Lepisosteus oculatus: one gene and its partners. Each later gene encodes a partner of the first gene's protein in a complex. Links are inferred from orthologs where the notes say so. Each region holds a gene or a part of one and is shown in the gene's direction. Other genes may lie near its edges.

Region 1 (10,943 bases):
AGCGTGTCTGGAGCAGTGGGGAAGAACAGTAGGGCATGGCCCTGGGGCATGAGTGAGTGAGAACTGAGAACTCGAAGTGTAGATACCCCCTCCCCCAGCGGTCCCAGGCAGTTTCTGTTTTGGAGGGGCAGGTGCCTGATCCACAGATTTATTGCCACTGCCCCCCATTAAAAGATGCATTTCTTCCGGGAAGAGTGGGAGATGGAAGGTTTGCAAACAGTGGGAATCCTATTGGTCGTCTGCAGCTCGTTAAAACTGCTGCACTTCTTGGGTTTGATTGACTTCTCAAGCAGAGGTAAGGAAAACAAAGTACTTGCTGAACTCATATACTGTAAGTATTCCCCCAGACTGGGGCACATACAGTATGGTCCTGTTTGGCCTGGATATTGTGATTGGATCAGATCAGGTTCTGTTAGTAAGCCAGGTTTATACATTTCTTGTTTTACTGTATACACTGCAGGGCTCTGTCATACTGTATATTCACTGATTGCACAGTAGATATTTGACCTTGCATTTTGCCATGAGTTCAATTAAAGCAAAGATAAAGGGGATCCTTATTACTTGTGCGTTCTCACTAAAGGAAATCTGAAAGCTTTTTGTGTTTTCCCTTTGGTGTACCATAGACATTGCAGCTGTCGTCTATGGAAACTGTTTTTTAATGCCCAAGTCAGAGCACAGAGTGTAGAATAAAAAAAAAGAAATACATTGGAAAAGACTTTTGTAAAAATACTGCATTTTTTAATAAAACAAACAAAGGGTCAGGTTGAAAGGGAACAGCTTTGCTCTTTCCTCTAAGATGTGATTTGAAGTTTCTGTGATGTGTGAGAGAGTCTGGTCTTGAAGGAGCAGTGTAAAGAGAAGGTTGTGACATTGCGATAGGGAGTTTTGTGATATAACCTCCTTGTGAAGTCAGTGCATACAGAGTAGTAGGCAGGGGTGGAAAGTCATGCAGGAGACTACTTGAAACCTTGTTCAGCAGTCCTTGGTGTGTATGACAGTGTGTGGAACAGGTGTTAAAAACAAAAGTAGAGAGTTTTGAGTGTTTCTCTGCAGCCTGCATGTGGTGTGTGTGAGCTAGTGGAGTGAACCAGGCAGATAAATATTGATTTTGTTGTGTGTTGATATTGATGTGTTGAAAAGGGGAAAGCAATGTGTAGATGTATACATTGTGAGTTTTAGTTATTTCTGAAATTTCCCTGGAAAAACACTCAGTCTATTTATTTAGTCTTTATGAACTGTACCCCCGTTGAACTACGGTATTAAACTGTATATCAGACTGTTGTGCGTGCATTTTTACAAGTGCAGAAAAGTGGTTTCTTGGTGGCACATAAAGGTTAAGCTGAGTATTCTCTCGACTCTACATCTTCTGTTTATGAAACAAAACGCAGCAAAAGTGCAGTTTTAGAAAAACCTTCACCCCTGTTGTTAGCTGAAAGAAAGGCTGAGCAATTTTATTCAGGGCAGAAATTAAGAGGTTAAAAAACATTAAAACCCATGGTGTTATTCTCAGATCTGGCCATCTGCTCTTCGCTTTTAGTATGTCTGGGGAACTGAGGTTTGCTCAGAGCCCCTCCCTCATCCCCTCTTCCAGTGTACTGCACAGGACTGGCAGCTGCCAACATCTGGACTCTAGCCCCAGAAAGGAACCCTGGTTTAGGTGCCAGGCCTCTGTGACAAGCCAGCAGCAGAGAGAAAGCCTGTTAACAGCAGTGCTACTCTGGCAAACTGGGAGGAGAGGAAAAAATAGGAGATTCCACTATGGTGAAAAATCAGTAAATATTAGAAATTACGTCATGTCATTTGCCAAACCGTTTTGTACTATACGGTGTTGCGGGAAGCCGGAGCCTACCCAGCAAGCAGGGTACACCCTGGAGGGCGCCAGTCCATCGCAGGGCAAGTGCAAGCCAATCATACATGGGGACAATTTGGAGGCCAAGGTAAAAGCCAAGGGGGGAAATTTGGCCCCGACACCGGGATAACGACCTACTCTTGTCGAGAATGCAATATTAGTATAGTATATTAGAAAAAAGTAGTAAATACAGTATTAGTATTGAAGTAGTACAAGTTAGAGCTGAAGTGCCCACCATGATGCATTAGTACCAGTTCACACACGTCCCTCTAAAGTACTGTAGGTGTAGTAGCACAAAATGTTCAGAAGAAAAGATAGTTGTGCTTTATTTTTAGGTAATTCTTGCAAATATTGTAACCCTTGAAGTTACAATATGTACAAAACTCACACTACTTTCCATGTAGTTTAAATTAAGATTACAAATGTGCATTTTACAAATTATAAAATAGTTAACTAATATTAGTGTGCACTTGCAGGGGCCAATCGGCTCCTTGTGTCAAAGTAATTTGTGAACCTGAGCCAAATTAAGTTTGCCAAAGTAAAGGGAGTGAATACAGTACTTCTGCAATCAGAATATTTTAGTTGAACTGAATGCTCTTGTTGCTTTGAATGTTTTGTTTAAATTGAACTTTTTTTTTTATTTTTATTTTTATTTTGGGTTCATCACAATATTAGACATTTTTGGCACGGCTTCATTAAAAACACTTTCATACCAAATCAATGCTTCTTAGTCTGCCCAAGCTACACCCAAAATTGGCTCTCCCAAAATTAGTAACAGAAAATAAAAGAAACCAGAGTCTCAAAGAAACAGAATCTTTGCTAAATATAAGCTAAACATGAACTTAGAGCACCATGTGAGCTGATTTAGTTCTGATGCAACCTCAGTGTAAGGTAGGACTTAAGAACTCAAGACTTGTAACTAGAAAATTGTTTGTTTTACTGTACATCACAGAAAATATTATTCTTTTGTACTCTTGATCATTATATGTCACTGAAATCACTTCAGTAAAACAGACATTTGTATACGTGGATAACAGTTTTAAGTTGCTTTGGAGAAGATGGATAAACAGGACAGCCAATACTAAGTTAAGGAAAAACATAATTGCATATCTTAGCAACTGATGAAAGATCAGGCTTAAAATCATAGTTTTCCCCTGTGGAAATGCTATTTTAAAAGTATGTTTTGAATTGCATTTGCCCTAACTGATCTAACCTCAATGTGAATCTGTGACAGGAAAGCAAGGCAACAATCTAGGACAGGTGATCAATCAGCACCTGCTGAGCCACTGTCTGTTAGCCAGCCACCTGTTGAGTGTCATGGTGAAATTTGGCAGCTTGCTGCCAGCGAAGCCAATGGAGACAGAAATGGCTCATGCCAGCTGCTGTGGGATTTTGGAGCTCTGAATGCCACTGTGCCAGCCAGGAGTCTGGTGAACACTGACGCAGCAGGTGCAGGGAGAACAGACAGCCCAGGTTAATTTGATTCTGTTGCAGTATTAGGGGAGTCTCAAAACTACTTAAAGTCCGTCAGTTCATTTCCCAACCACTTTATCTAATTCAGGGTCGCAGGGAAGCCAGAAACTCTCCCAGCAATAATGGGTGTAAGGCAGGGTAAGCCCTGGACAGGACAGCAGTCCATCATAGGGTAGGCACACATGTACAGTGCCTTGCGAAAGTATTCGGCCCCCTTGAACTTTTCAACCTTTTGCCACATTTCAAGCTTCAAACATAAAGATATACATTTTTTATTTTATGTGAAGAATCACCAACAAGTGGGACACAATTGTGAAGTGGAACAAAATCTATTGGATTTTTGAAACTTTTTTAACTAATCAAAAAATGAAAAGTGGGGCGTGCAAAATTATTCGGCCCCTTTACTTTCAGTGCAGCAAACTCACTCCAGAAGTTCAGCGAGGATCTCTGAATGATCCAATGTTGTCCTAAATGACTGATGGTGATAAATAGAATCCACCTGTGTGTAATCAAGTCTCTGTATAAATGCACCTGCTCTGTGATAGTCTCAAGGTTCTGTTGAAAGCGCAGAGAGCATCATGAAGACCAAGGAACACACCAGGCAGGTCCGTAATACTGTTGTGGAGAAGTTTAAAGCCGGATTTGGATACAAAAAGATTTCCCAAGCTTCAAACATCCCAAGGAGCACTGTGCAAGCGATCATCTTGAAATGGAAGGAGTATCAGACCACTGCAAATCTACCAAGACCTGGCCGTCCCTCTAAACTTTCAGCTCAGAGAAGGAGAAGACTGATCAGAGATGCAGCCAAGAGGCCCATGATCACTCTGGATGAACTGCAGAGAACTACAGCTGAGGTGGGAGAGTCTGTCCATAGGACAACAATCAGTCTTACACTGCACAAATCTGGCCTTTATGGAAGAGTGGCAAGAAGAAAGCCATTTCTCAAAGATATCCATAAAAAGTCTCGTCTAAAGTTTGCCACAAGCCACCTGGGAGACACCCCAAACATGTGGAAGAAGGTGCTCTGGTCAGATGAAACCAAAATCGAACTTTTTGGCCACAATGCAAAACGATATGTTTGGCGTAAAAGCAACACAGCTCATCACCCTCAACACACCATCCCCACTGTCAAACATGGTGGTGGCAGCATCATGGTTTGGGCCTGCTTTTCTTCAGCAGGGACAGGGAAGATGGTTAAAATTGAGGGGAAGATGGATGCAGCCAAATACAGGACCATTCTGGATGAAAACCTGTTGGAGTCTGCAAAAGACCTGAAACTGGGACGGAGATTTATCTTCCAACAAGACAATGATCCCAAACATACAGCAAAATCTACAAAGGAATGGTTCACAAATAAACGTATCCAGGTGTTTGAATGGCCAAGTCAAAGTCCAGACCTGAATCCAATCGAGAATCTGTGGAAAGAGCTGAAAACTGCTGTTCACAAACGCTCTCCATCCAACCTCACTGAGCTCGAGCTGTTTTGCAAGGAAGAATGGGCAAGAATTTCAGTCTCTCGATGTGCAAAACTGATAGAGACATACCCCAAGCGACTTGCAGCTGTAATCGCAGCAAAAGGTGGCTCTACAAAGTATTAACGCAAGGGGGCCGAATAATTTTGCACGCCCCACTTTTCATTTTTTTATTAGTTAAAAAAGTTTCAAAAATCCAATAGATTTCGTTCCACTTCACAATTGTGTCCCACTTGTTGGTGATTCTTCACATAAAATAAAAAAAATTATATCTTTATGTTTGAAGCCTGAAATGTGGCAAAAGGTTGAAAAGTTCAAGGGGGCCGAATACTTTCGCAAGGCACTGTACACATTCACACTAGGACCAATTTTCCCAGAAGTCAATTAGCCTTCTCGTATGTTTTTGGACTGTGGGAGAAAAACACAACACCCAGAGGAAACACAAGCAAACATGGGGAAAACATACAAACTCCACCCAGACAGCACCTCGGGTCTGGAATTGAATGAGGCAGCATTGCAACTAACCGTGGCGCCATCCCGAGTACATTGAGTCATTACCTAAAATAACAACATCTACTGTAGTGTTCATGTAGTGATTTTCATCCCAAAACTCTTTCTAACTAACTAACAGGAAAGTCATCTCATCCACCATTGAAGTGCAGCACCCTCTGGGGCAGTGCCCAAAAGCCATTTTAAATATACACATTAGGCAGAGAAAATAGACATTTTAAATCATGCTATAGGGAATTTAATGAATAAAAATATCTAGGTCCATAGTTTCATGTCTCGTTTGAAAGGCTGCATTTCCTACAGCACAGAGTTCCCTGCCACCTACTGTTTCAACCTCATTTTCTTCAGATGCCTGTCATCAAAGTACAGACTATTGCTTGCCTAACTTATTTTGAGGACTGACTTGTGTGCTGACATTGTCTCATCAAGGTGCAGTACAGTATGTCTCAGACACTGGCAGCAGTAGTGCCTTCTATGCAGACAAAAAACAACATGACTGGGACAGAATTCGACACGCACCACACTCCTCCGTTTATATTCCAGCCTCTCAGCCCGTCACGTCTTATAACAAAGGAGAATAAAACACAGGCACCTGACAGGACCTTTCCAATCACAGTTCATTACACAACATCCATTCCTGTGAAGCAAGATTATCATTGATTGATTGATGACATTTCTGCCTCATCAAGAAGCAGACACTTTTGCACAGCAACACATGGCTTTTATCTGAGTCTTAATATGTACAGTAAATACCTTCTGCTTTATATTTTGTTAAATGGTACAAATCAGAGCATTCCTCATTTTTCTGCATGTAATACAGAGAGTTGACTGGGTGTCACTTGTTAATATAGGGGTGATTTTGTGAACCAGGTAGCTGTAATTGAGAGTAATTGCATAATCGGCATGGATATGTGTGGACATACAGTATATGTGTATGAGCTTGCATCTCATTGTATGTGATCAAATGAGCCAGCTCTCATTTCCTCACTAGGCTAACAGCGGACCAGTTAATGGAGGTCTACCGCAATTTGACATGTTCCATTAGCAGAGGGAGTGTTTGATTGTGGCTGGTGACTGTCCCCGTGCCATCTCCTTGTAAATCAGTGACGACTCGCAGCCTGAACCTGCTGGACGCGGCTCCACTGTGGTGATGAGGATATAAATCCACAGCCCGGTGACCAACGACACGTGGCCTGTCAGGCACCAAGTGACGTGGGTGTGTGGGAGGGGGGCGATGAGGCAAAAATGAGCAGGGACAGAGGCGGAGAGGTAAAAGCTGGAGGAAGAGAAGTGAAGAGTTGCCAGGAGCTCTGATCCCTTTTTTCTTCAGACATGGCCTTCATTCCACAGACTGCCGGAGTGCTCTTCAAAACCATGAAGGTGCTGATCCCAGGGAGGAAGAGGGGGAGGAGTAAGTTTCCTAGATGGCTTATTCTGTAGTAGCACTCACAGCTTTAGTCTGTGCTTTGAGCACCCTGTAGGTATCTGTAGTGCTAACAATCAATTAACCTTGTTAGCCAATGACCTACAAGGAAATAGACTACTTGCTTTTATTGAAATTTTGAAAACTATAATGCGTAATTCTTTGTGAAAATAAAAAAAAAGAAGATTTCGTTCAATATGGTTTGAGGAGAATGTACATACAGTGGTAGCACAAATCATCTTTAGTGAATTAGCAGCTTTTGTGAAAGAGACTTGCAAAGGTTTGGGTTTAATATATGCAACAGCTGCTGCACAGTGTCGTACAGTACAACAGGATTTGGAGATTGTTTCTCCCATGCAGCTCAGAACTCAGTTCGGATGTTAAATAAGCCATGTGAGGTGAGACACACTGAAGTCAGAAACAGGGCTAGGACTTGAACCGCGAGCTTCCTGGTAACTGCTCTTTTGCATTAACCAATTAATTTAGCTGCAGCAAAACCATGAAATTTGCAATGTCGTGGAGCTGATACTGTAGTTTAGCTTCTTGCTTGGCAGGAGTAGGTATTGGAGAGGAGTTGAACAGAGGTGTGGCTTCAGATAAGTTTGCTGTTGATTGTGTGTATTTTTCACTGAAAGAGTAAGGAGGGCAAAATGCATATCAAAATTCAAAGAAGTACCAAAAAATTTTAAAAAATGATCTACATCACTGAGTACAAGTCATATTGCTTTGAAAGTATTACTAAGCTAATATATACTGTAGCAAAACATACTTTTGTATGTCAGTTTTCAGGTGTCAGCATTAGTGTAGCAGGAAAGAGTTCTTATAATTTAACTAGTAAACTAGTTAAAATAAGGGAGAGACCATATTTTAGAGGAGTTAGAAGAAATATGAACTCTGTTTTAGACCAAATGAAATATTCGGAAAACTCAAAAACAAGATTTGAGAAGCAAATAGTAAAACAAAAAACAGGAACAAACTGAGACTGTTGAAGAGCAATGTAATTTTCTGTGATTTTACTCACAATGGCTTTTTATAGTATGCAGCTGGTGAAGTTTAAGATGTCTATAAGATGCCATAGAATTATTGTTGTTCTTTCAGACAAACAGCTGCTTGTCAAATAGAACCAGAATGTGTTCTCAGACATTTAATTATTGTGACCTATCAATTGTTCCTACTGCACAGCTCTTAGCTTTGAGAATGGAGTGTATTTCACTATGATTGACGGATGTCTTTCATGATTTATCCCTATGTTTGTCTCTACATTTATCAGGCATCTGTTTAATGATGCTTCATCACCACATAGAACACAAAGTGTCACATACCGGACAGCCGAATGCATGCCAACTAATAGGGTGGCATTATCTTGTAAATATTCCCCCCAAACATCACTGATTCACAAATCAGTCACCCTGTTCATTTACAGCTCTCATTTTCCTGGTGATTCATGTCCGGTTTCTAAGGCTCCAAGAGATTTTTGAATTAATGTACAGTACAGTATATATCTTCTGCCTATAGATTACAGTTTATAATAAAACTGCAGTTACAGTATTTAGAAGTCTGCAGTAGTTCCCATTTTGGTACATTTTCAAATTTTGTCTTCTTTCAGATGTTTTGCAGATTTTCACATATGAAAACAATTATTAGCAAAGATCTATATGTACAGCAAGTGGAACTCCAGTATTTACTCTACCCATCATACTTGGGCATTGTACCTGAACTGCAGTTTAAGAAAGAGATTTTTATTTTTTCACCCCAATGTCTGCCATTGATGTTAATCCGATAGTGTCAGCTGAACCACTCTTCAACTTGAAAAAGTGATGAACAATATGTAAAGCCAGGTCAGCAAAATTGCTCCACTTTTGGAAAGCTGGCTTTTTTCATTGGTTCATGGTTGACTGCATGTGGTGTGGTGGTGTTCTTGATCCTGTGTGTGAATGTGTTCTTTGTGTTTAGTGATGGCTACCTCTTGGCTTGTTGACCTAAGTGTCAGGTTTTAATGTGAAAATTCCCGAGAGAAGGTTTAATGACTGGGCACATGCTCATTAACAAAGCCTAATTGTATTTTATGTAGACAGCAGGTTTCATCAGCAAACACATTCTCAAAATGTTCACCTTAAAGCTCTTTGGGATTATTGCTGAGTCCTTAAACATCCACTAACTGTTACACACAAGCCCTTGTCTAACCTTAACCCTATCGCTAATATTTGCCATGCCTCTGGATTTTTTATCCTTACCTTACTAATATACTGTATATAATGTATCCCAAACACCAACACTAACTTTTAGAGATGTGTTATTTGTATGAGCTGCAGGAGAAATAGGTATTCACAATCTTCAGAAGAGATTTGAAATGCAGTGTTTAATAACCTGCCAGTCAGAAAGAAGTGAGTTTAAAATTCACTGTTAGACTGTTTTAAGCTTTCCATCTATCCACTATGAGAAAGGTGCTTATTTATGGCAAAAGCTGTGGCAACCCTGACCTATCCCACATGCTGAGAGTATAAGGTGAGACTACTGTACTCTATATCATCTATGAAATGCCAGTTTACAGGCCTACACACACACACAATTTGTAGACATCACCTAACCTAAATAAAGTGTCTTTGGGTGGTAGAAGGAAAGCAGAGAGGCTTAAATAAAACAGACATACAGAAAATATATCAACTGTGTACAGAAGGAGTCCTAGGCTGGGATTGAACCTTAGACCAAAAACCTAGAAAGTAGCAGTGCTAACCACTGCACCATCATGCCAACCCTTTTTAAGGGATTGATTTTTATGCAATTTTAATAGTGTTATTCCATGAGGAGGAGAATTGCAACAAACACAGCACTAAACAGCAAATGAAACAGACACAAACAGAGTAATATACTGTATGGCAGCATGGTCTTTTGCATTGTAGAAGCTTATTATTTGTACCATTGATGCGGAAGTACTGTGGCAAACATGAACACTTCCATAATATGTAACAGTGAGCTTTGTGACTCTTTTACATTAGTTACATCCTAATGCTCATCAAGATCTTAATAAATCAGACCTCCCTGTCTCTCTCTAATGAGCTACAGCTGTTGTCATTACTGAGCAACCGTGAAGGAAATGCAGAACAGGGCTGGACAGAGCAGCTCTGTTAGGTATAGTACAAGGGCAATCGCAGAGAGTTCAAGCACGAGCCAACGATTCACATTCCTAATTTGGTGTCACAAGAATTGCCTTGAAAATATGCGACTATATGGCTGTATTCATTACAGAGAAGTCAAGGACAATCCTCAGGCCGTACAATTGGTCCTTTTGTAGTTATTCTGAGACAGCTGGAAACGAATGGGCTTGTAAAGCCGAGAAGGTCGAGAGGGTCTTCTACAGCTGAGCATGTGAGGTGAGCAGCCTCGCGTGCTGGCAGTTACAGCTGTTCATCAGGTCTCTCCCAGTGAGTGACACTGACATAGCAGGCACTATATCACACGTCCTGTAGCACCAGACCTCTCCAGGGCCATGTTAGAACTGAGATACTGGAATTTAAGGGCATAAGAGAGGCAATAAATGAGATCACACCAAGCTGCTTCAGGATAGGTCTAGGGACTCAACTTCACATAACCCACATTATGCCCGAGCAAGTCCTTCTGTTTTTAAGCTTTTTCCAGGGCATCAAAGATTTCTTTCTAATGTACTGACCACAGCTGTACTCATATTAGAAATGAGGTCTGATTAGTACATTGCATAATTGTAACCTAACATTGCTTAATGTAATTCTTCACTCTTCATTATACTGTATATCTTAGCATTTGGTTGGCTACAAATAGAAAACATACCAAAGTACAGTCTATAGCTATGAGGTCTTCTGTCATAGTATGCATTTCAATACCTGTAAACCTAGCTGTGTTAAATGCAATAGCAAAAATCTCAAATTTAATTGGAACTCTTACCACAGATCAGAGGACAGATCGTAATTGCTGAAATAAATATGGGAGAAACTTCAAGACAAAAGAGGGGAGGCAATAGCATCCATCTTGCTGTTTAGATTGTTTAGAACCAAATTGATTCCGGACTGTTATCCACCCAGTCCTTAAAGGATACCAGGGAGTCAGCTTCTGCGACATGGGTGATCGTTATTCGTTGCAGAAAGCGTTCCAGTTTTTCCAAGCCTTTCAAGATTTCCTTTCACACTGGTTGAATCAGGTTAAAAAAAATCATTTCAGAGCTCAAATCCATTTAATTTCAAAA
Region 2 (10,702 bases), on another chromosome or scaffold:
TTGAATATCTTGAGGTGAGTCCACTTCCTTTTGGTTTTCACCTGTGGCAAAGCTAGAACGTTTGGTTAAGTTAGTTCAGGAGTCAGTCCTGAAGTAAAGCACTGAGAAATACCTGTGCTTAACTGTTGATTTAGGTATAAAATGGTGATATTTTCCATAGATTAGGGAAATATGCGTCCATGTGGTTTAGCCATTCCCCAGTGAATTTACTCTTCAAGGAGCTTGGTCTCTGCTGGGAAAGGAGGTGGGAGGTCTCAGGTGAACAATACAACTTCTGACTCCAGTTCTGATTTAAGGAGCAGCATTAAGGTTTAGACATTAAAATGGGAAAACAAGCAGTCACTGGCTAGTTTAAGGACCATATTAGTGTGGGACAGTATCGTTCTCATATCAGGGTTGATTTGGCCTCAGCTTCAGCTTCAAAATCCCATGTAGTTCAGGTGATCAAAGTGAATAGATCTTTCCCACGAGCCATTTCAATGCACAGATCTCTTTGGGCTAGAGCTGGGAAACACTCAGAGGATGTTTTATTCAGAAAAACAATCAGGGGCTTATGGACTGATCCCTCTAGTAAGACCTTGTTGGTTTATCTTTATCTATCCTCATGCTCTATTACTTTGCTCGCCAGATATTTCAGCTTAACTCCATCTTTTTTCTCTGTTATTCACCTGGGGAGGAGTCTAATTTAGAACAATTTTGCTGAATAGTTATTGTCAACACGTTCTTCACCACTAATACAATCTGAGAAGTCCCTGATGCCTTCTCGACTCTCACATCTTCCATAGGCTGATCCAAAGCTTTCTGCTCCAGAACAGCTATTTTAGTCAGTTCTGGATGGTTAAACTCTTTCAGCATCTGCATGTTGGAGAAAAAGGAGATGAGTCCATTTTCTTCTGTGCCTTTACCATCCTTGATCACCATAAACAAACCTCCAAAAAGATATCTGGTGACTAGAAAATAGGGGAGTCTTTGTGTACCATGCTGAAACCTTGGTCACATGATCTCCCCAATGATTTATTTCTTATTGAAAGCATAATTGACCACAGTCTGTTGAGCAAAATACAGTATGTTAAAGAAAGGACAATTAAAGGTCTTTCTCCTAACCCTGGTGCAGTGGAATTAGCTATTGGTACAACAACTTCAAAACTACCTGACTGCAATGACGTACCAGTGTTTGCTAACACTTCAGAGGAGATTACAAACAACTTATGTTATATGTCTCACAACATGTCAGGATGTGAACTGTTGCTGGTAAGAACTGATCTTTATTTGACCAGGTTGCGTCATGTTTTCAGCCACGCAAAATAACCAAACAGGTAGAAAATCCAAAGATCTACAGGGAATTCAGTAAACAGAATGTGAGCAGGCACTACTGATAATCTAGTATTATTAAAAATATAAATATTAATATTTAATATTAATTATAATATAAATAATTAATAGGCAAATAATTCTCCTGAGAGCTGCCAACAGGGGCCTAAGAGAAAGCAAACTGTATAGCATATCTAACAATACTACATAGATCTGAGAGAACCACTATGAGAGTAGATTAATACATGACAGGTTGAAGGGGAAAAACGTATAATACAGTACATCTTCATCTGTGGAAGCCCAGGGCAAATAATATATCACATTAGTTTTCTTATATTAGCATAATATTAACACTGTTTAAATGAATATAATTCCATCCTGGAATATATACATATACAGTGCCTTGCGAAAGTATTCGGCCCCCTTGAACTTTTCAACCTTTTGCCACATTTCAGGCTTCAAACATAAAGATATAAATTTTTTATTTTATGTGAAGAATCACCAACAAGTGGGACACAATTGTGAAGTGGAACGAAATCTATTGGATTTTTGAAACTTTTTTAACTAATAAAAAAATGAAAAGTGGGGCGTGCAAAATTATTCGGCCCCCTTGCGTTAATACTTTGTAGAGCCACCTTTTGCTGCGATTACAGCTGCAAGTCGCTTGGAGTATGTCTCTATCAGTTTTGCACATCGAGAGACTGAAATTCTTGCCCATTCTTCCTTGCAAAACAGCTCGAGCTCAGTGAGGTTGGATGGAGAGCGTTTGTGAACAGCAGTTTTCAGCTCTTTCCACAGATTCTCGATTGGATTCAGGTCTGGACTTTGACTTGGCCATTCAAACACCTGGATACGTTTATTTGTGAACCATTCCTTTGTAGATTTTGCTGTATGTTTGGGATCATTGTCTTGTTGGAAGATAAATCTCCGTCCCAGTTTCAGGTCTTTTGCAGACTCCAACAGGTTTTCATCCAGAATGGTCCTGTATTTGGCTGCATCCATCTTCCCCTCAATTTTAACCATCTTCCCTGTCCCTGCTGAAGAAAAGCAGGCCCAAACCATGATGCTGCCACCACCATGTTTGACAGTGGGGATGGTGTGTTGAGGGTGATGAGCTGTGTTGCTTTTACGCCAAACATATCGTTTTGCATTGTGGCCAAAAAGTTCCATTTTGGTTTCATCTGACCAGAGCACCTTCTTCCACATGTTTGGGGTGTCTCCCAGGTGGCTTGTGGCAAACTTTAGACGAGACTTTTTATGGATATCTTTGAGAAATGGCTTTCTTCTTGCCACTCTTCCATAAAGGCCAGATTTGTGCAGTGTAAGACTGATTGTTGTCCTATGGACAGACTCTCCCACCTCAGCTGTAGTTCTCTGCAGTTCATCCAGAGTGATCATGGGCCTCTTGGCTGCATCTCTGATCAGTCTTCTCCTTGTCTGAGCTGAAAGTTTAGAGGGACGGCCAGGTCTTGGTAGATTTGCAGTGGTCTGATACTCCTTCCATTTCAAGATGATCGCTTGCACAGTGCTCCTTGGGATGTTTGAAGCTTGGGAAATCTTTTTGTATCCAAATCCGGCTTTAAACTTCTCCACAACAGTATTACGGACCTGCCTGGTGTGTTCCTTGGTCTTCATGATGCTCTCTGCGCTTTCAACAGAACCTTGAGACTATCACAGAGCAGGTGCATTTATACAGAGACTTGATTACACACAGGTGGATTCTATTTATCACCATCAGTCATTTAGGACAACATTGGATCATTCAGAGATCCTCGCTGAACTTCTGGAGTGAGTTTGCTGCAGTGAAAGTAAAGGGGCCGAATAATTTTGCACGCCCCACTTTTCATTTTTTTATTAGTTAAAAAAGTTTCAAAAATCCAATAGATTTCGTTCCACTTCGCAATTGTGTCCCACTTGTTGGTGATTCTTCACATAAAATAAAAAATTTATATCTTTATGTTTGAAGCCTGAAATGTGGCAAAAGGTTGAAAAGTTCAAGGGGGCCGAATACTTTCGCAAGGCACTGTATAATGTAATAACCATATACCGTATACATCACAGCAATTCATGGGCACTATACTAAATACAATTCAATTATTTATTCAAAACTTATTTATGTACTGTATGTTAAATATTATTATTTCTAGTAGCAGAGCATATGAAATAGGAATATTAGGAATAATTACAAGCTTCCAATTAAAAGGCACAATTAAAAAATAAATACACTAAATTTCCAATTTTATAATTAAAAGCTTAATAGAATTTCATTATTCAGATCTTTTCATGTGAAATATTAAAACAATAAATGCTCCCTTATATTAAAATAATCTAGTATTTTCCACCTTAGTCCTGAAAAGCCGAATTCTTCACTTAGTAGTTAATATGTTCTTCAGGAATAATTAACCCAGTAATTGTTACAATTAAAAATGTAATAAGCAAGAGTAGACACAAGCAAGAGGAGGCCATTCAGCCTAGCTGGTACATTTGGTAGTTAATTGATCAGAGGATCTCATCCAGTCATTTTTTTAAAGAAGCCTAAAACCTAAAACCTAAAACCTAAAGCCTAAAATGGTTTTCTAAACCATGGCTGGGTAGCTTGCTTTATTCTCCCATGACACTTTAGATAAAGACGTGTCTATTGTTCTTAGATATACTGTAAATAGTTGTAAATATTGTAAATTGACATAGTTTCCACTTGTGAACTCTGATTTGTGCTTCACTGTTAATACTTATAATGGATACCTACAATATAATAAAGAAACCAGTGCCAATGCATAAGGATTAATGGGCACTTGTTACTGGATTTTAAATATGTATTTTACAATATTGACAGTGATAAAATTAAAAAGCCCCAAACAGACATTCTGCTCACAACAATAAACAAACTACAGTATAGTTATCATTTTCAAATTAAGGAAGTCCAAACAGAATTTTCCATAATTCTCTTCAGCAGTTGCATAAAATCAACTTGCCCTACAGCCAAAATTGTACTGTATAACACAATTTGGGAAATGCTATATCTCAATTCCTCTGAAGGTTCACTTCAATCCAAAAGTCAAAAGTAAAGTTAAATACAATCATTTTGAATTAGAATTGGTAGCATTGGTAGATGTATTCATCATGAGTGCTTCTGGTGCTATACAGTAGGTACTTGTGCACTCTTCTATATTAAAATTATTAAAAACAGCACGTTGTCCTGCAACCTGAGGAAGAGAAGAAATCAGTTTGACATTTTTGTCTACGTTCAAAGATTCAGAAAGTCACAAAGATAAAATGGGTGTTTACTGCGCTATTACACTTCTCAGTAAATAGAAGAAGTAAATAGAATAGCAAATTGAAGTAAAAAAGTTAGCAGATGGAAGCATTGCTCCCTAAAATAACATATTTGTTATATTGTTCCTATGAATAATGCTTAATGAAAATATTGTCTAACTAATGATACCATGACATTTGGTTATCATAAGATAGATTTTTTATCATTATAAAAATCATTTTGCAATAATACTAATCTGCTAACATTTGGAATCCTACCACACCCAAGGGAAATATTTTTCATTAAAATCCTGCCACATACAGATGAGACCTATCTGTGCAAAGGTACTGCATAGAAGGAGATTTCTTAATCATTTTTGTCTGTATGTGCTGTGGTGTTTTAATTATAATTGCATATCGCCCATCCCATATTGTTGTTACTTTAACAACTGCTATTTGCAGTACTATTATGACCACTAAGAAGAAGAGGAAAAAAGAGATTTATTGGAAATTAAATGACTATCAAATAATTTAAAAATACTGTCTAATCAATGAAGGCAGTTCACGTGATGTGTATTTTGATTTTTCAGCTTACTTTTTGTAGCTGATATTGACATTATTATGGCAGGGGAAGGTCTTCACACACATGCACACATATTGCCAGAGGGAAGAGGGGCAAATAATAAAACATGAATACAAGCTGTCTTGAACTCTGTGGAGGCTGCGAATGTGGTCAATTGGCAAAACAGATGTCAATAATTTTCTTTTTATCAATGCAATTGGACTGAAGCAATTGCGCTAGAAACACAGAACAGCATTTTGTATCATTAAATTCTAACCTTTTCACTTTCTTAAAAATGATTAAACGATGCCTCCACAACCCCTCCTACTACTATTGTTATAATAATTATTAATTGCAGTGGCAACACAAACCATTAATGTTCTCAATCTATAACACAGATAAATTACTTGCTTAAGTGAGGATCCCTAAGGCAGTATTATGACAAGATCAATTATATATTATACGTTATAGGCGACTATTGAATCAATTCATGGACAGCTGGGAATTAATGCCCATTCCTTAATACAGTGTTTGAGCTTCATACGAATCTACAGTAGGTTCATACCTTCTTTTAGTGATTTAGTGTCTAAATTAATGGCTGTCTCCATCTAGTGGCATTTTATTTTATTAAGCATGTATTTGTATCTGAGATATAGATCAACAACTTGTGTGCATGAGAAATATTGTTGCCTGTAGAATACAACTGTAAAAAAAAGCAATCTCTGTCTATTTTATGTTTTGCTGCGTTGTTTTTAGCGCCCGGAGCGAATAGTTTCAATGTGTGCGTTTCCTATAACACGAGGAAATATTAAAGAAAAAAGCACCAAACCTGCTTGTTGTTTGCTCTCCTTGGTGCTGAATCACATTCTAAGTAATCTGCTTACTATTGAACATATTTTCTTAACAAATGAGAACAAAATATACTGTAGTATCCATAAGAGTTAATTGATGCTTGTAGCACATGACACGCCTCCGTTTTCTACAGAACACAGAGCAACTTGTGCACACTACTCTTGTTCGTGTAGACTGAACGGGCAAATAGAAGAAGCGACCGACTTAACTTGTTACATTTCTTCAATTCATTGTATCCGTGCATTGATTTCGCTTATTTCCATCTATTGGATTTTGTGACATTTCCAAAGCTACAAGCTTTAATAGCCTGCAGTTATTTTTTTTTTGCTTTTTTTCAGCCCACTGTGCAGGTTTATGAGAGGTGGTCCTTCAGCCGATGAGAGAAGCTGAGCACAATATACAAGCAAAAACTGAAAAAAACGTTATCGTGAAGAACACAAATAAGAAAATAATAAGGCACGTTCTGTGTTGAGAGCAAGGAATGATTTTAACATAATCAGACGTGATTGAATTTCTCCTGAACTTGTTGCTGCTGTGTTCACACCTTACCGTGCATATCCTGTAGTTCTGGTACTAAAATACAGGTTTTTTTTTTCATGTTAAATGAACAAAACGGATTTCGTAAGAACACGAGAAAGGAGAAAAGGAAACTCTATGCGTTTATTTTCAAATCCATCGACTTTCTGTGGAGGTACGTGTAATTATTATTATTATTATTATTATTATTATTATTATTATTATTATTATTATTATTATAAACGATCATATCAGAGTGTTTTAATTCCAACTGGACTGCAACTTACGTATCTTGATCGATATCAGTTATTACACTGCATGTGATTCACTGTTTGCTTTAGTGATGCTCAACCTGCTTGCTTGCTGACCATAAAAGTAATACAGAAAGGAACATGAAAAGTCCAGACGAAACAACAACAGCTGTATCTCTGTAACATTTTCGTTGTGATGCTTGTTCTTACTTTTTTTAACCCTGTTTTTGTAGATGACCTTTCGTCAACTCGCTGTAGTTTTTTAATCGCCGAGGGAGATCTGTAATCTGATTTAGCTGGTGTTCGTGTGACAAGCAGGTCAGAATGGCAGCGGGAGTAGCAGCCTGGCTTCCCTTTGCCCGAGCAGCGGCCATAGGATGGATGCCAGTGGCCAGTGCACCTATGCCACCACCCCCACGAGAAAAACGGAGACCACAGGATGGTCTTATCATCCTTAATGTCAGTGGAACGAAGTTTCAGACCTGGAGGAATACTTTGGAGAGGTACCCAGACACCTTACTAGGAAGCACGGAGCGGGACTTTTTTTTCCACGAGGAAAGTAATGAGTATTTTTTTGATAGAGACCCTGACATTTTTAGACACATACTTAATTTTTATCGCACTGGCAAACTGCACTACCCACGGCATGAATGCATATCTGCCTATGACGAGGAACTCGCGTTTTTCGGCATAATCCCTGAAATTATTGGTGACTGTTGCTATGAAGAATATAAAGACCGCCGGCGAGAGAATGCTGAAAGGCTTCAAGATGACGCTGACACGGAGAACAATAACGATGGAGTTGTGCCGGATATGACCTTGCGCCAGTCAATGTGGCGGGCTTTTGAAAATCCTCACACCAGCACTTTAGCGCTGGTATTTTACTATGTCACCGGATTTTTCATTGCTGTTTCCGTTATAGCCAACGTGGTGGAGACGGTGCCCTGTGGTTCTTTACCGAACAAAGTTAGGGATGAGCCTTGTGGAGAGCGCTATGCCTTGGCTTTCTTTTGCTTGGATACAGCCTGTGTCATGATCTTTACAGTCGAATACTTGCTGCGCCTATTCGCTGCACCTAGTCGATACAAGTTTGTTCGAAGCGTTATGAGCATCATTGATGTGGTTGCCATCATGCCCTATTATATTGGTTTAGTGATGACGGACAATGAAGATGTAAGCGGTGCCTTTGTAACCTTAAGGGTTTTCCGTGTATTTCGGATCTTCAAATTTTCCCGCCATTCACAGGGCCTGCGTATTTTGGGTTACACTTTGAAGAGCTGCGCATCTGAGCTAGGATTCTTGCTCTTCTCCCTGACAATGGCTATTATCATTTTTGCCACGGTGATGTTCTACGCAGAGAAAGGATCAACAGCCACCAAGTTCACCAGCATTCCTGCTGCTTTCTGGTACACCATTGTCACCATGACAACACTTGGGTAGGTGTTGGGTCTGGTAATGCTTTATTCTCTTCACTCCCATGGTAAAATGTATGTGAAGTTCATTTTTATATATCAAAAGGAGAACATACTCGCAGCTCCGCCTTGCCCCACCCAATCACTTCTAAAGTAGAAGTGACAAAGTTCTAACACAAAACATCCCCAGCCCATATAAAGGGTCACAATGCCTCTAGTGAAATATTGCATAATAATACCACTAACATGGGTTTTGACATCTGTTGTGACCTTGAAAGTTAATTTGTTTGTAACCATATGAAATAGACTCATCCTAGTTTTGACAATGATATGCTAAGAAGCCAATTTATGGATTATATTGTAGATCAAGTTAATTTCTGAAAGCATTTCTATTAAGTGCCATGCAGCAAGGAAATAGATTTTATTAAAAAGAAAATGTGACTTGTGGGTTTTTAAAATACATTTCCAAAGACCAAATACTAGTTGAATTGACTCCCTCTCAGCTTATGTACTCTAAACTGTATATTAGCCACATATTCATGTTGGTCTTTTCTTTATTAACGCTATTTTAAATTTTGAGAAAGCCAAAGTTGGAAGGCCAGTTAAGATCGCCCTGCTAATGTTATTCATGTAGTGTATTCTGCATAAAAGAAATGCAGAGAAAGATAAAAAAAGCCATCAAGAAAATGTCTAAATGTGGTTAGTGGTTTTTTGAGGTGCCGCAAAAGTGCTGTCAGTTCCAAGATATTCATTAGAACAAACAACACTCATTTATAAACCAGTCATATAGTGGACTTTGATGATAATTATGATGAGCTGAAGATTGTATGTATTTATACAATGTCCTGCAGAATACAGTAACAATAACTATAGTCCATCTGTGGGAAACATTGTGTGCTGTCCATGGTACTGAGTTTGTCTGTAGCATATTTTAAGTCCTGAAGATGAGAACTGAATGTGTAGCTAAGCTAACACATGAAATCAGTCATAAATCAGTATTATTGATGACAGACTCAAATAGTTATTCCAGATTGAATTTGATCATTCTAGTGTGCTATAATAAAATGTTTAGTTTTAAATATATGCATGCTTATGAACTAAGGAAAATGTCATAAATCAATATGTAGTCACACAAGAAAATAGATGCATTATCAGCAGAGCTCAATCACAGATTGTGTCTTGGGTTTCAGACTCAATAATATCAATATGAAAATGCAATTACTCCTCAACACTCAAAAAAGAACTAACAAATTTTGGGCTCTAGGGTAAATGCTGAGACAGTTCTGTAGAGCACGTTATTAATGAATTGTAGTATGCATCAATTTCCTTATTTATTAAAGAAAGGATAAATGAATAACTGTTTTTTGTGAAGTTATAAATAATATGTCAGAAGTGAAATGTGACTTACAACCTAAACAAATTTGTTTGTAGATGTTAATTTTTCTAACTCAATTTGCTGTAGTTAGTGCCTAATGTATCAAGTTTTATTTAATAAATACCTTATTTGACAAATGTATTCCAGACATTTTTAACAACAAAAAACATAGTGTTTGAAAGTAATGTACTATGGGGAATTGCTGTACAAATAAATCCTTAGAATCCAACATAGCATAAAAAGCTTTTGCGATAAGCATACACGCGTGAGGTACAACTCTTTATTCCTGAACAGAAAACACCAAGATAATGTACTGTATTTGAAGTTAAAATACAATGAGATGGGTCTTTGGTTCGAATTAGCTTTCAGAGATTGTACAGTCTTGGTTTATCTAGGTAGCTGGTTCCATCACTGTGGTGCAAGAGCGGAATGAGTGATGGACTGGAGGATGAAGAAAAGGAGCAATTCAAGTAGCCAGAAGAAGAATAGAGATGAGAAGGTGTTGTAAACATAGACAAAATCCTGGAGATAGGAGAGGAAGAGTGATGAAGAGTGCAGTAAGTAATTAACGTACTTGTTGAACCTACTCTGCACGCAGATCACGTTGGAAACTTTCTGTGGTGAAATATCTGCTGCACAACCAGTACGCATTCACTTGTACGTCACATTACACTAGTCTTGAAGAATGTGAAAAAGAGTGATTTTATAGGAGAGGTTGGGCAAACAAAATACCCTGTCAAGCTCTAGTGTTTTGGATGAATTGATGACTGTGGATGTCTGGAACAGGTATCCTAGTGAGAAGAGAGCTGCAATTGTTGTCTAGAGCAAACAAAACCAAAATCTGAGCAGAGTAATTTAAAAGATTAGATCATGTAGATATTCAAGAGAAATAGAAATATTGAATTTATAACAAAGAAATGAAAAAAAAATGGAGTACATGAAATTCTGATGGATTGCATTTTTCAGTGCTGAAATTATCATTTTTAAAAAGATAGAATTATCAGAATGATAATATTTTTAATATTTTAGAAAAAGCAATCAATGTCAGGTTAATAAGAATACCACAATGCAATATGGACTATAATTTGTGGAAATAAAATGCTTGTTAATGATATTAATTATTGCTACTACATTGTAATTGGTTTCAAGCTTTACAAATCTGTTAGTTAAA
Region 3 (10,591 bases), on another chromosome or scaffold:
CTTACATGCTGATCAGTGCATTATCTGCGTGTTCTCAAATTGCACAATTCATTGACAGTTGGTTAGAATTAATAGAGTCACCATACATCACTTATCATCATCACATCACAATCTGTAGATGCAAAGTAATTTAAGAAAGCAAGAAAAGTTCAAATCAAAAGGTGGCTGTTCTGTTTTGCTTAGTGGATTGTTAGCAGCTACTTGACCTGAGGATCTCATCCAGCCATTTCTTGAAGGATCCAATGGGATCAGGCTTAAAAAAATATTTGGGTAGTTTGTTCCAGATCTCCTTGGATACTGTAAAAAAAAGTATTTGCTGTTTACAGTCCTAAACACTCTCACTGCAATGAAAGCTGTGAGCCCTGTGCTTGAACTTGAACTTGAACTTTATTGCCATATGTAACCGGTACAATGGAATTCTTACTTACAGAAAGTCTCTCTATTGTAAAATAAGTGTAAAAAACAAGACAAAGTGCAAACAGTGCATCAAGACAATGTACAAACAAACAATAGACAATGTGCAAGTAAACATGTAGACAGTTTGAATGTAAACAATACAGACGTGTAAACAACTGGAGATGTGCAATAGATAAGAAATCATAAAGAGCTTCACCTAAGCTTCACCTCTTTGGGGATTTCTGTTCCCTCTCCGTACTCTTAACAAGCTCCTTTAGAGGCTGGAAAGGAAGAGTCCCTATACGCAGTTTTGTTTAAATAGATAGCACCCTTTTACATTATGTTCCTAAACTACTAGTGAAAGGACTGTGAGACCAGATTCATGAACTAATAAAAACAGGCTTAAGCTCAGAACACAAAAGAATTGCATTGCAATGTAGATGGCCGCAATTGCTTTCAGTTGACCTACCTCAACATCTCTATCAGTGCTCACACTCCTAAATACTAATTATTCTTTTTCAGGGCAGGCAAGTCAGCTATTCTGCATAACCGAAAACACCAAGCCTGTCTCATGGTTTCAAAAGAAGCTCAAAATGATTCCCAGCATGCAAAGCGCCCTTGTCGTGTCATGTCTGCCGCTCAGTCTGGAGAGCTGTCTGGTGTTCTTGTGCCTGCTTTTTTGAGGTGGAGTGCTCAGAGCTGATAAAAGTCAAACCCTGCATTTTTCAAAAAACGAATGTGCCTTCATTGGTAAACTTAAAGGATGTGGTTGGGCTCAGACATGCTGTCTTCTTAAATGGTGACAGATTAAAGTCTAGATTTTAATCTGCCCTGAGATTGCAATGTAAACCTGTAGATACACTACTGAGCAGATAAAGGAATCTTAGGGTTTCGTGATTTGCAAGGGTCAATGTTTTGATTTAATATGGGCCTTACGCATACGTACTAGCACAGACAGCAGTCTAAGTATGAGTGCTGAATTTGACAGTTTTTATCTGAGCTTTAAATTGGAAACAAAAGTTAAAACAACAATATTGGGTGATTTTGTCAACATAAAAGGAAAGAGAGCAGCTACATCATTCAGGCCTTCTAGGACCATTGCTTAAGGGCAACATTACAGCAGGCTTTCCACATATTTTAACACCACAGACATTTCAGACCATGGTAAAATGTAAGACATAGGTGAGCTGATTAACTCTCCTCCTGAGGCCTCGTGCTGTATGTTTAAGTAAACCAGCTGGGCGTTGTCCTTGAGGACCAGAGCTACAGTAGGTTTAGTCAGTAGGGCTGAAGCTCCTTAAAATGGATGAATTTTAGGGGTGTCCTGTTCATGTGTGTCAACTGACTGTAATTTTTATCACCCAAGAGAGGAGGCACAGGAAGTGGAGGAGTCTAGATCAAACTGTCCTGGCAGGTGTTTGAAGCCACTCACTACTCTGAGAAAAAACAAGTCAGACTTGCCATATTGATGAATCTGTTACTGTAGTGTAATATACACTAAGTGTACAAAACATTAGGGACACCTGCTCTTTCCTTGAAATAGACTGACCCAGTGTATCCAGGTGAAAGCTATGACCCCTAATTGTTTTTACCTGTGAAATCCACTTCTGTCAGTGTGGATGAAGGGGAGGAGACAGGTTAAAGAAGGATTTTTAAGGCTTGAGAAAACTGAGACATGAGTTGTGTATGTGAGGGAGATTTAAGTGCCCTTGAATAGGGTATGATGGTAGGTGCCAGGTGCACTGGTTTGAGTGTGTCAAGAACTGCAATGCTGATGGGGTATTCAAGCTTTACAGTGTCTTGTGTGTATCTGGAATGGTCCATCACACAAAAGGCATCCAACCAACTGAAGGCCAGTGGTCAAAAACAGCTCATTGATGAAAGAGGTGAAAGAATCATTCAACATGAATTGTGCTGATCAACAGACTGTATACATTTTGTCAACTGACAGTCCAGTGCATCACTGGTGCTGAAATACCAATAAAACAACACACAACTCGTTGCACCTTGACACAAATAGGGTATGGCAACTGACAACCTTACAGAGCATCACTTCCTTCAGCCTGCTGTTGTATGAGGCTCAGGGATTAAAACATTGGACACTGGAAAATTGGAAAAACACTGCCTGGTCTGATGAATCCTAGTTCCTACTTTTTCACTCTGATGTGAGTACTAGGTATGGAGAAAACCACATGAGTCCATGGATCCATCAAGCCATGTTTTAAAATTGCAAACTGGTGGTGGTGATGTGATGGTGTGGGGTGTGTTTTCATGGCACACATTGGGCCCCTTGATAAAAATGGAACAACATTTGAATACCACAGAATATCTGAACATCATTGCCGATCAGAAGCTTCCATTCATGACAGCAGTGTATCCAGCTGTGAATTGATGTTTTTTTTAGCAAGATAATGCCCCATTCCACAAGGCTAAGATTGTACAGGAATGGTTCCACAAAAATGACAATGAATTCAGCTTAAAACAATGGTCTGGCCAGTCACCAGATCAAAATCCACTTGAACATCTGTGGGATGAGAATGAAGATATTCAGAGTAGAGGCCCACTACCAACCAACTCAACACAACTGTGTGAACTGTGTGCACTGGAATTGAGACTGTTCTGAGGGTTCTGAGGGGTGCAACACAATTTGAGGAAAACATTCCTAATGTTTTATATATTCAGTGTAATATGTAACAATATAATATGTATCCTAGAAATGGGAATTATTATTGGGGAATTGAAATGTCCCAATAACCTACATTTTCTTATACTGTACGTCTATAAAGGTACATCTGCCACTATATTCTGCTGTGTCTGAATGTCCACAGGGTGCCCTAAGACCACCAGCATGTCCAAGTGGAGATTTCATATGTGCTGTACATATTGCAATCTTAACCCTAATGCTAACTACAGTATAAACTGTATTTACAATATTAATGGGGCATACTGTGCTGGAAGACCCAGTGTAGTAAGACCCCAGTTGTTAGTTCTGATACCTCACCAGTCCATGGTCCTGGGTTGGCTTCTTCGTGTCTCTGTGTGGTGTTGGCGGATTTATCCAGCATTCATATTGGTTTTCCCCATATGGTGTAGTTTTCTAACACCTCCCAAAGACACAATGTGTAGGCATGACTGGTTCTTCTAAATTGTCCCTTTTTCCTTGGTCCTACAATTGACTGGTGTGCAGGTCAATTGTATACAGATATCATGTGAGTTCATTATGCTTCTGAGATAGGCTGCATTTTGGTGCCTGCACCCCTTAAAATAGTAAAGGTTGTACAGTACACAGGGGTTTCTCCACTGACAATGACACAATAACCAAAGGAGCAGATTAGCTGATAATACATTGCTGCTAAAGAACTGAAATGGGAACTGCAGTTTTACACTGACATGATTGCTGTCCATTCCAGCAGGAGATTAATAATGTCTAACCTGAGGCCAAGGCAAATGTTTCATGAACACAAACTATTGGAAATAGTGTCCCTTCCAAAATTAATTTCATCACCTTTTTTCCCTTACTTAGGCAGGCAGGCAGTCACCAGTTGCATATTGATTTTTTTTGCAGACTAAAACTGAACCCATCATTTCAGATTCTATTTGAAGCACAAGGAAATAATACTCCTGAAAGATATTGCATGTGTATTTACAGAAACATTTACTGACTACTTTATTAGAATTTCCTCTTTATAATGAGTAAAACCACTCTCAGCATAGTTTGCGGCTGGAGCCCTGGTTTGGATCAATTACAACTTACACAGTGTTAGATTCCATGTTTTCTTGTGGCCGAAGCAATAAGCCACTGGAAATTACCCCCAAAACAATTTTCAAAACGGACAAGGTCTACAATTTGCCATTTGCAGGTGGGTCTTATTGCTCTGCTCAGATCCAATATCGTGTTACCAAAGCACCACAGCACCAAAAGGTGGCACCTTTTTAATAATCTCATGTCTGGGTCTTGGCAACTGACACCATACAGTATACAGTACAGTGCTCACTTGAAACTATGTAATGTACTGTACAGTATATATTGTTATAGCAGCAAACCCCGAGTCTTTTACATTCATAAGATACTGAGTCCACCCATGATATTGTAGCACCCCACCACCAGGAACAGTCTGTCTTGGAGCCTCTGAGCCCTCTAAATTGTATTTTGCAGAGTCATTTTCCCTCTATCCTCCTCTTTGATATGGGGTCCGTTTTTCCTTTTCTTTCTTTCTCGTGTCTAACCTCCCAAGCTGATCAGCTGCAGCTGTTAATCTCTCTCTCCTCCTGCCTCCTACCTGCCTCTCCTTCCTGAATGACGAGCACACCCCTGTACCTAAAATGGGCCAAAAAACTCAGTGATCTGCAGTTCCAGTCTCCTGCCTCTCTTAACACACTGCTGCCTGTGCAAGGGGGAAACCAGGGAAGATCTTTGCAATTTCTTCATCAGTCATAAAATAATTATCTTCTAACAGTTGGTAAGTCTGATCCTGGCACTTTCTGTGTGTTGCCTCTTGGATTCTCACAGTAGGATATTTGAACAACAGTCCTACACATCTGCCTACCATTGCAAATGGTAGAAAATATATTTTTTTCTTGTTTTTAGACCAGTTAAAAAAATCTAATGTGACACAAGACGTGGGCAAAGTTATCACAATCCAAATAAATATACCACTCTTAAGATTCTTTACATTTACACTGTATTGGTAAGGATTCTGTTAGCTGTTTTATGTTCAAAGGAGTCTAACCTGTAGCTCAGTAAGAATCTGCCACTCCAGGCTTCTCCTAACTACAGTAGATACTGTACGAGCCCAGCCAGCAATCTGATTAAAGTAATGATACGGAATACGGCTTTTCTCAGCTGTGGAGGTATGGTGATTGAATGTGCCTATTCGATCAGCTTGAAATAATGACTAAGATTTAGCAGTGGTCAGTACCAGCAAAAACAAATATGGTCATATACAGTACATAGATAATATATAGTAAAAAATGACAGAATTGTTTTATTGTTTTGAAATATCACCTGGAAAGATGTATTGACGCATTGATTTCGATTTGGGGCATTTTAAGAGCCTCGTCGAGTCCCACTATCCCCGAGACCGTAAAATCAATTTACATGGTAAATTTTCCAAATACGACGTATTTTTACAATACACCAAATGATTCGCATACACAAGCACCCATTTTTTTTTAATTACTACGCCAGACCACGTACAAGTAATTTACTCGTGATATGCAAAATGTTGGAGGCGTTATTTAGGTTGCCTGTGCTTCTTTTTTAAAGACGTGTCACAGTGGAAATCTGAAGGACGCACTGTGTTAGGCTATAAATAAACACATTTGTACAGTAGTAGACTAATACAATTACGCGTGTCAATTGTCAGCAAGGAAAACGCACTACGAGAGCCGTCAATGTTTACTGTTACCAAGATGCACAAAATGCCCCCAAAACATTGTATATACTGTATAGAAACAAAATGATCCTTCATTAAACGGTCATTTAAGAAAAACTAATATATATTTAAATAAAAAACCAACCCACAGACAGCCTCGCCTGTGTAATACACGAGCCAGGAGACGGCATCTTTAAGTGAGCGGACAGTGCCTCGGTGTGTTTCTCTGGTTTTCCTGTGTTCATGAAAGAAGCGTTTCGCCAGCATACTGTATAAAGGAGAGAAGGAAAGGGGGAAAGGAAAGGGAGAGGGGGGAGAGAAACCATCTGAGAGAGAGATAAGGGGGTAGAAAGAGCAGAGAGAGAGAGACTCCCTCTTCTGTCCATCATCCTAGCATCCTGCAAGGTGTCATCACAACATCCCAGCCTATCTGGGTACCATTACCAACTGATGGAGCGAAAGGAATACACGTTCACGCTGGAATCTCGAGCGCTGAATAAGAGACATTCAGCTAAAGCTATCTGACAGAAAAGGGGACAGAGTGACAAAGCTTTTGCATCCACAGTACGCGCGAGTTCACTTGTTTCTGATCGCCTCCTACTTGAATTTTTTTAATTCCTTAATTGTACTCTGGAGCTCACAAGGATTTGCGTCTCTATAAAGACAAGCAGCAACAATTTTCAGAGTTACTTTCCCGAAGGATAATCTTGTTTTTTTCTTTTTTTCTTTTTATTGGATCTTTTCCCCTTAGAGGTAAGTGTATAGAAAAGAAAAAGAAAAGTTTACATTATTTTATTAAGAAAGTTCGGTCGTAGACAGTATTATGTTGGTAATGTTACATGATGTCGTGCAGTATTCCGACATTCCAGTCACAATAAAATAGCATCTTCTTTTATTTTCATCGCGGGACTTTTGGAAACATGCTTGTAGATTCACATAGACTTAAAAAATTCTGTTGCCAGTTGTGCGTTCTTGTGATGAACATTTTTGGCAAACGAGGAACTCTTCAGAATAATTCAGAATTGCCTTTAGAATAGTAATAGCAGTAATAATTACAAGTCATTTTTTCAGAGCCGTTTTAGTTTTATATATTATATACATCAGTTTTCACCTGTTAAGTGTGCAAAACTCTGAATGGCCGTTCAACTTCGTTTATTTGTGAAACAGGATTCTGACGGCTTTTCATCACGATTTCGGTATTTGTTGATAGATGGGAGTATTTTTTCCACATCTTTCACAAATCATAGTCACAATCTAAGGGAGGAAAAGATGTTCTGTTTCTTCTTGTTCTTTGCAGTTAATGCTCAACAGGTATCGAACCCTCTAGTCGCATCTCGATCCCCCGAAGAGACATATTCTATCAAGGTTTGAGAGATTTTAAAACGTTTATGTTTACCGACAGTTTAATGTACCATCTCTTGATACCTTGGCATCTCTTGTTGAAAAATAATTTCCTGCGCTTCGCATCGAAGAGAACATAATTCCAAGCAGCGAAACCTGAGCCACATCGGCGTTGTTATGCCCAACGACTGCCTCGCACCGAGCAAGTGACTTGTTGAAAATACCAGCGCTGCCCTTTTATTCTAAAAGTGGCAACAATTTGCCTACACGTGGTTATTCTTGTCTTGTCAGCTGTGTTATCCGATGTACTGTAGGAATCGGTTACATAAAAAAACGACTCTGGTACCGGGACGTCAGCGCTTCAGGTCTGAGTGTGCGGATGCGAGCTGCACTACCCGCTCCTGTGAAAGACTGTTCGGTCCATTGCTGAGGAAAAAAAGGAATGCGTCTGTTGACCACAGACAACAGGAGTTCACATACTGTAGTTCATTTTAAGCACTTTAAGCCTGCGTGTCGCTTATACGACAGAACATACATATACATGTAAACTTTGCATCATCGTCATCTTGAAATCGTCGTAGTCGTATAATAATAGTATTATTAATAACAACAACAATAATAGCTGTTGTTTTGTTGGTGTTGTTATTGTTATTGTTATTATTGTAATTACATAAGCTCAAACCACGGTGAAATAGGTCCTTTAATCTTGTTCTCAGTTTGTGCATCCTAACACAATGTCTCTTCCAGCCGGTGACTCCACTGGGAATGTAAACATACACCAAGTACTGATGAGCCCAGATTGTGTCTTGTAAAACGGACAAGTGTTAGAATAAAGGACAAGGTGAATTTCGTGGCTGGTAAATTCAATAGGCAGGTCATTTTCTCTTAATTTATTCCTTAAAAACCCTTTCAGAAAATGTCTAACTCATTAGCCCTTCACACACTCTGATGAAATTTGTATTTCCTACATGATACTTATCATGACTTAGATCAATTTTTTCTATTATCTGTGATAACAAGTACAAGAAACAACTCATTAATACATTTATTTTGTTTTACCTAGGAATCCCTGAGATGTCATAGCAAAATCATAGCACCTGTGGTTCAGTTAGTCGTTTGGTGGAGAATAGAGGCTACCAATATACCTGCAACTTTATTTAACATTGTGCAAAACACTAAAATCATAGAAACAGCATGAAAGGAGCAAAGAATGGTAATCCAGCAAAGCAAAGGACACCATTTTGTCCATCTTGCTGGTATCTAATCATGATCGTGTCAAGCCATTCCTTGAAGTACCCCAAGGAATCGGGTAATAAATCAGATCACGGCCGTGACCAAAGTAACTGGTTTACCCATTTATTTTGCTCTTAGATGGTTCCCAACCTGAAGGCAAGCTGGTTTTAAAGGTGGAAGACTTTTTCCCCACGCCCCGAGCCGGAGTCACCATGGCGGCGGGAGTAGCAGCGTGGCTCCCTTTTGCCAGGGCAGCGGCCATCGGGTGGATGCCTGTGGCCAACTGCCCCATGCCCATTGCGCCCAGTGACAAGAACAAGAGGCAGGATGAGCTGATCGTGCTCAACGTGAGCGGGAGGCGCTTCCAGACATGGAGGACCACACTGGACCGCTACCCTGACACCCTACTGGGAAGCTCAGAGAAGGAGTTCTTTTACAACGAAGAGGCCAAGGAGTACTTCTTTGACCGTGACCCCGACGTCTTCCGCAGTGTTCTCAACTTCTACAGGACCGGCAAGCTGCACTACCCCCGCTATGAGTGCATCTCATCCTACGACGAGGAGCTGGCTTTCTTCGGCATCATCCCAGAGATCATCGGTGACTGCTGCTACGAAGAGTACAAGGACCGCAAGCGGGAGAACGCCGAGCGCCTCATGGACGACAACGACGGAGAGAATAGCAAAGACAACTTGCCGCACTTGAACTTCCGCGAGAACATGTGGCGTGCCTTCGAGAACCCCCACACCAGCACCATGGCGTTAGTCTTCTACTACGTCACCGGCTTCTTCATCGCCATCTCAGTCATCACCAATGTGGTGGAGACCGTTCCATGTGGCTCCTCACCCAATCTGAAGGACCAGCCCTGTGGGGAGCGCTACGCTGTGGCTTTCTTTTGCCTGGACACGGCCTGCGTCATGATCTTCACCGTGGAGTACCTTATGCGCCTCTTCGCTGCCCCAAGCCGCTACCGCTTCATCCGCAGTGTGATGAGCATTATCGATGTTGTGGCCATCATGCCCTACTACATTGGCCTGGTCATGACCAACAACGAGGACGTGAGCGGGGCCTTCGTCACCCTAAGGGTCTTCCGCGTCTTCCGGATTTTCAAGTTCTCTCGCCACTCGCAGGGCCTGCGCATCCTGGGCTACACCCTCAAGAGCTGCGCCTCCGAGCTGGGCTTCCTGCTCTTCTCCCTGACCATGGCCATCATCATTTTTGCCACTGTCATGTTCTACGCTGAGAAGGGTTCCTCTGCCAGCAAGTTCACCAGCATCCCGGCCTCATTTTGGTACACCATCGTCACAATGACCACCCTTGGGTAAGAGGCATTCTTCCTATACACCTTTTTCTCTTTCTCATTTTCCTCCTCTTTGTCTTTCCTTTTTCCTATAGTTTGAGCCTCACTGTATCTTGTTGAGCTGATGAAGATACTATCTCAACACCAAACCTGGTAATATCCTGGTACCTGGTAATCTTGGGTGAAATAAGACAGATATTCGATTAAAGCCATCATGACAAAGCTCTTCGCTTGTGTTTTGCTGGTGATTTGAATGCAGTGTGTCTGTGATTCACACAAGGAAGTTTGCAGTACTTGAAATGTGTTCTGTCCACATTTTACATCTGTGTGTCTTGAAATATTAATTCAGCACATTAAAGCCAAATACCAGCACTGCCTTTTTATTATAAAAGTGGCAACAATTTGCCTATACCACAACAGACACTTATAGAATTCAGTACTTTTATGTGCACTCAAGCACTAGCTTAGCAATTGTTTGTTCTCAGTTATGACACACAAGATCATTTTAATAAAAAGCATTCCCTTCAGAATATTCTGTATGGTCAGTGCGAACCCATGTACATTTCTTATTTACGTTGTTAAAAACACAACTTGCTTTGCTTTTTTCCCCATTACAATTACAATTCAATGGAACATTGTATTCAACTGCTTAATGCTAAACTGTAAGAATATCAGTATTAATTTTTGCAAACCTTTCTTTCAGTTTTCATTATTTTCATTATTTTGTTGTAAATAAATCCCTGATTTGTTTTCCACGCATTTGTTTACCCCTCAATCATACATTTTGTTTATCAACTAAGAAGGTGCCATTTCCAACGTTTGCCTTCACTTGTTATCAGACATTGATTATTATTATGTACTATAAAGATTTGGACAACAGAAAATACATCACATGATTTTATTTAATACTAGGCTGCCTGAGTATTTCTTGAGCTTGTTTTGTCTATAT

The links. The genes of interacting proteins can lie anywhere in the genome.
Region 2: the proteins of A-type potassium channel modulatory protein KCNIP2 (region 1) and kcnd2 are in contact, whole or in part, in a cryo-EM structure (PDB 7UKH), measured with the Homo sapiens proteins. The link is inferred for Lepisosteus oculatus from reciprocal best matches to the Homo sapiens genes KCNIP2 and KCND2. Residues at the interface, in NP_775283.1 of Homo sapiens: Arg112, Gly113, Phe114, Asn116, Glu117, Cys118, Val123, Phe128, Ile131, Tyr132, Gln134, Phe135, Phe136, Tyr144, Leu148, Phe152, Phe165, Leu169, Ile172, Leu173, Arg180, Trp183, Ala184, Leu187, Tyr188, Met201, Met205, Ile208, Met211, His228; in NP_036413.1 of Homo sapiens: Val5, Ala7, Trp8, Leu9, Pro10, Phe11, Ala12, Arg13, Ala14, Ala15, Ile17, Gly18, Trp19, Met20, Pro21, Val22, Ala23, Ser24, Gly25, Pro26, Met27, Pro28, Ala29, Pro30, Trp55, Asp57, Arg61, Arg100.
Region 3: the proteins of A-type potassium channel modulatory protein KCNIP2 (region 1) and kcnd3 are in contact, whole or in part, in a cryo-EM structure (PDB 7W6S), measured with the Homo sapiens proteins. The link is inferred for Lepisosteus oculatus from reciprocal best matches to the Homo sapiens genes KCNIP2 and KCND3. Residues at the interface, in NP_775283.1 of Homo sapiens: Arg112, Gly113, Phe114, Asn116, Glu117, Cys118, Val123, Phe128, Ile131, Tyr132, Gln134, Phe135, Phe136, Tyr144, Leu148, Phe152, Phe165, Leu169, Ile172, Leu173, Arg180, Trp183, Ala184, Leu187, Tyr188, Met201, Met205, Ile208, Met211, His228; in NP_001365898.1 of Homo sapiens: Val5, Ala7, Trp8, Leu9, Phe11, Ala12, Arg13, Ala14, Ala15, Ala16, Ile17, Gly18, Trp19, Met20, Pro21, Val22, Ala23, Asn24, Cys25, Pro26, Met27, Pro28, Leu29, Ala30, Pro31, Asp33, Trp54, Arg60.

Annotation. Positions count from the first base shown.
Region 1 is NC_090699.1:44,615,813-44,626,755, reverse strand, and holds the start of A-type potassium channel modulatory protein KCNIP2, read left to right. Parts: upstream 1-6,350; 5' UTR 6,351-6,636; coding exon 6,637-6,715; intron 6,716-10,943. UniProt on the Homo sapiens protein: Regulatory subunit of Kv4/D (Shal)-type voltage-gated rapidly inactivating A-type potassium channels. Modulates channel density, inactivation kinetics and rate of recovery from inactivation in a calcium-dependent and isoform-specific manner.
Region 2 is NC_090702.1:40,357,807-40,368,508, reverse strand, and holds the start of kcnd2 (A-type voltage-gated potassium channel KCND2), read left to right. Parts: upstream 1-6,131; 5' UTR 6,132-6,668; intron 6,669-6,977; 5' UTR 6,978-7,068; coding exon 7,069-8,180; intron 8,181-10,702. UniProt on the Homo sapiens protein: Voltage-gated potassium channel that mediates transmembrane potassium transport in excitable membranes, primarily in the brain. Mediates the major part of the dendritic A-type current I(SA) in brain neurons.
Region 3 is NC_090700.1:31,940,311-31,950,901, forward strand, and holds the start of kcnd3 (A-type voltage-gated potassium channel KCND3), read left to right. Parts: upstream 1-6,020; 5' UTR 6,021-6,524; intron 6,525-8,483; 5' UTR 8,484-8,557; coding exon 8,558-9,663; intron 9,664-10,591. UniProt on the Homo sapiens protein: Pore-forming (alpha) subunit of voltage-gated A-type potassium channels that mediates transmembrane potassium transport in excitable membranes, in brain and heart. In cardiomyocytes, may generate the transient outward potassium current I(To).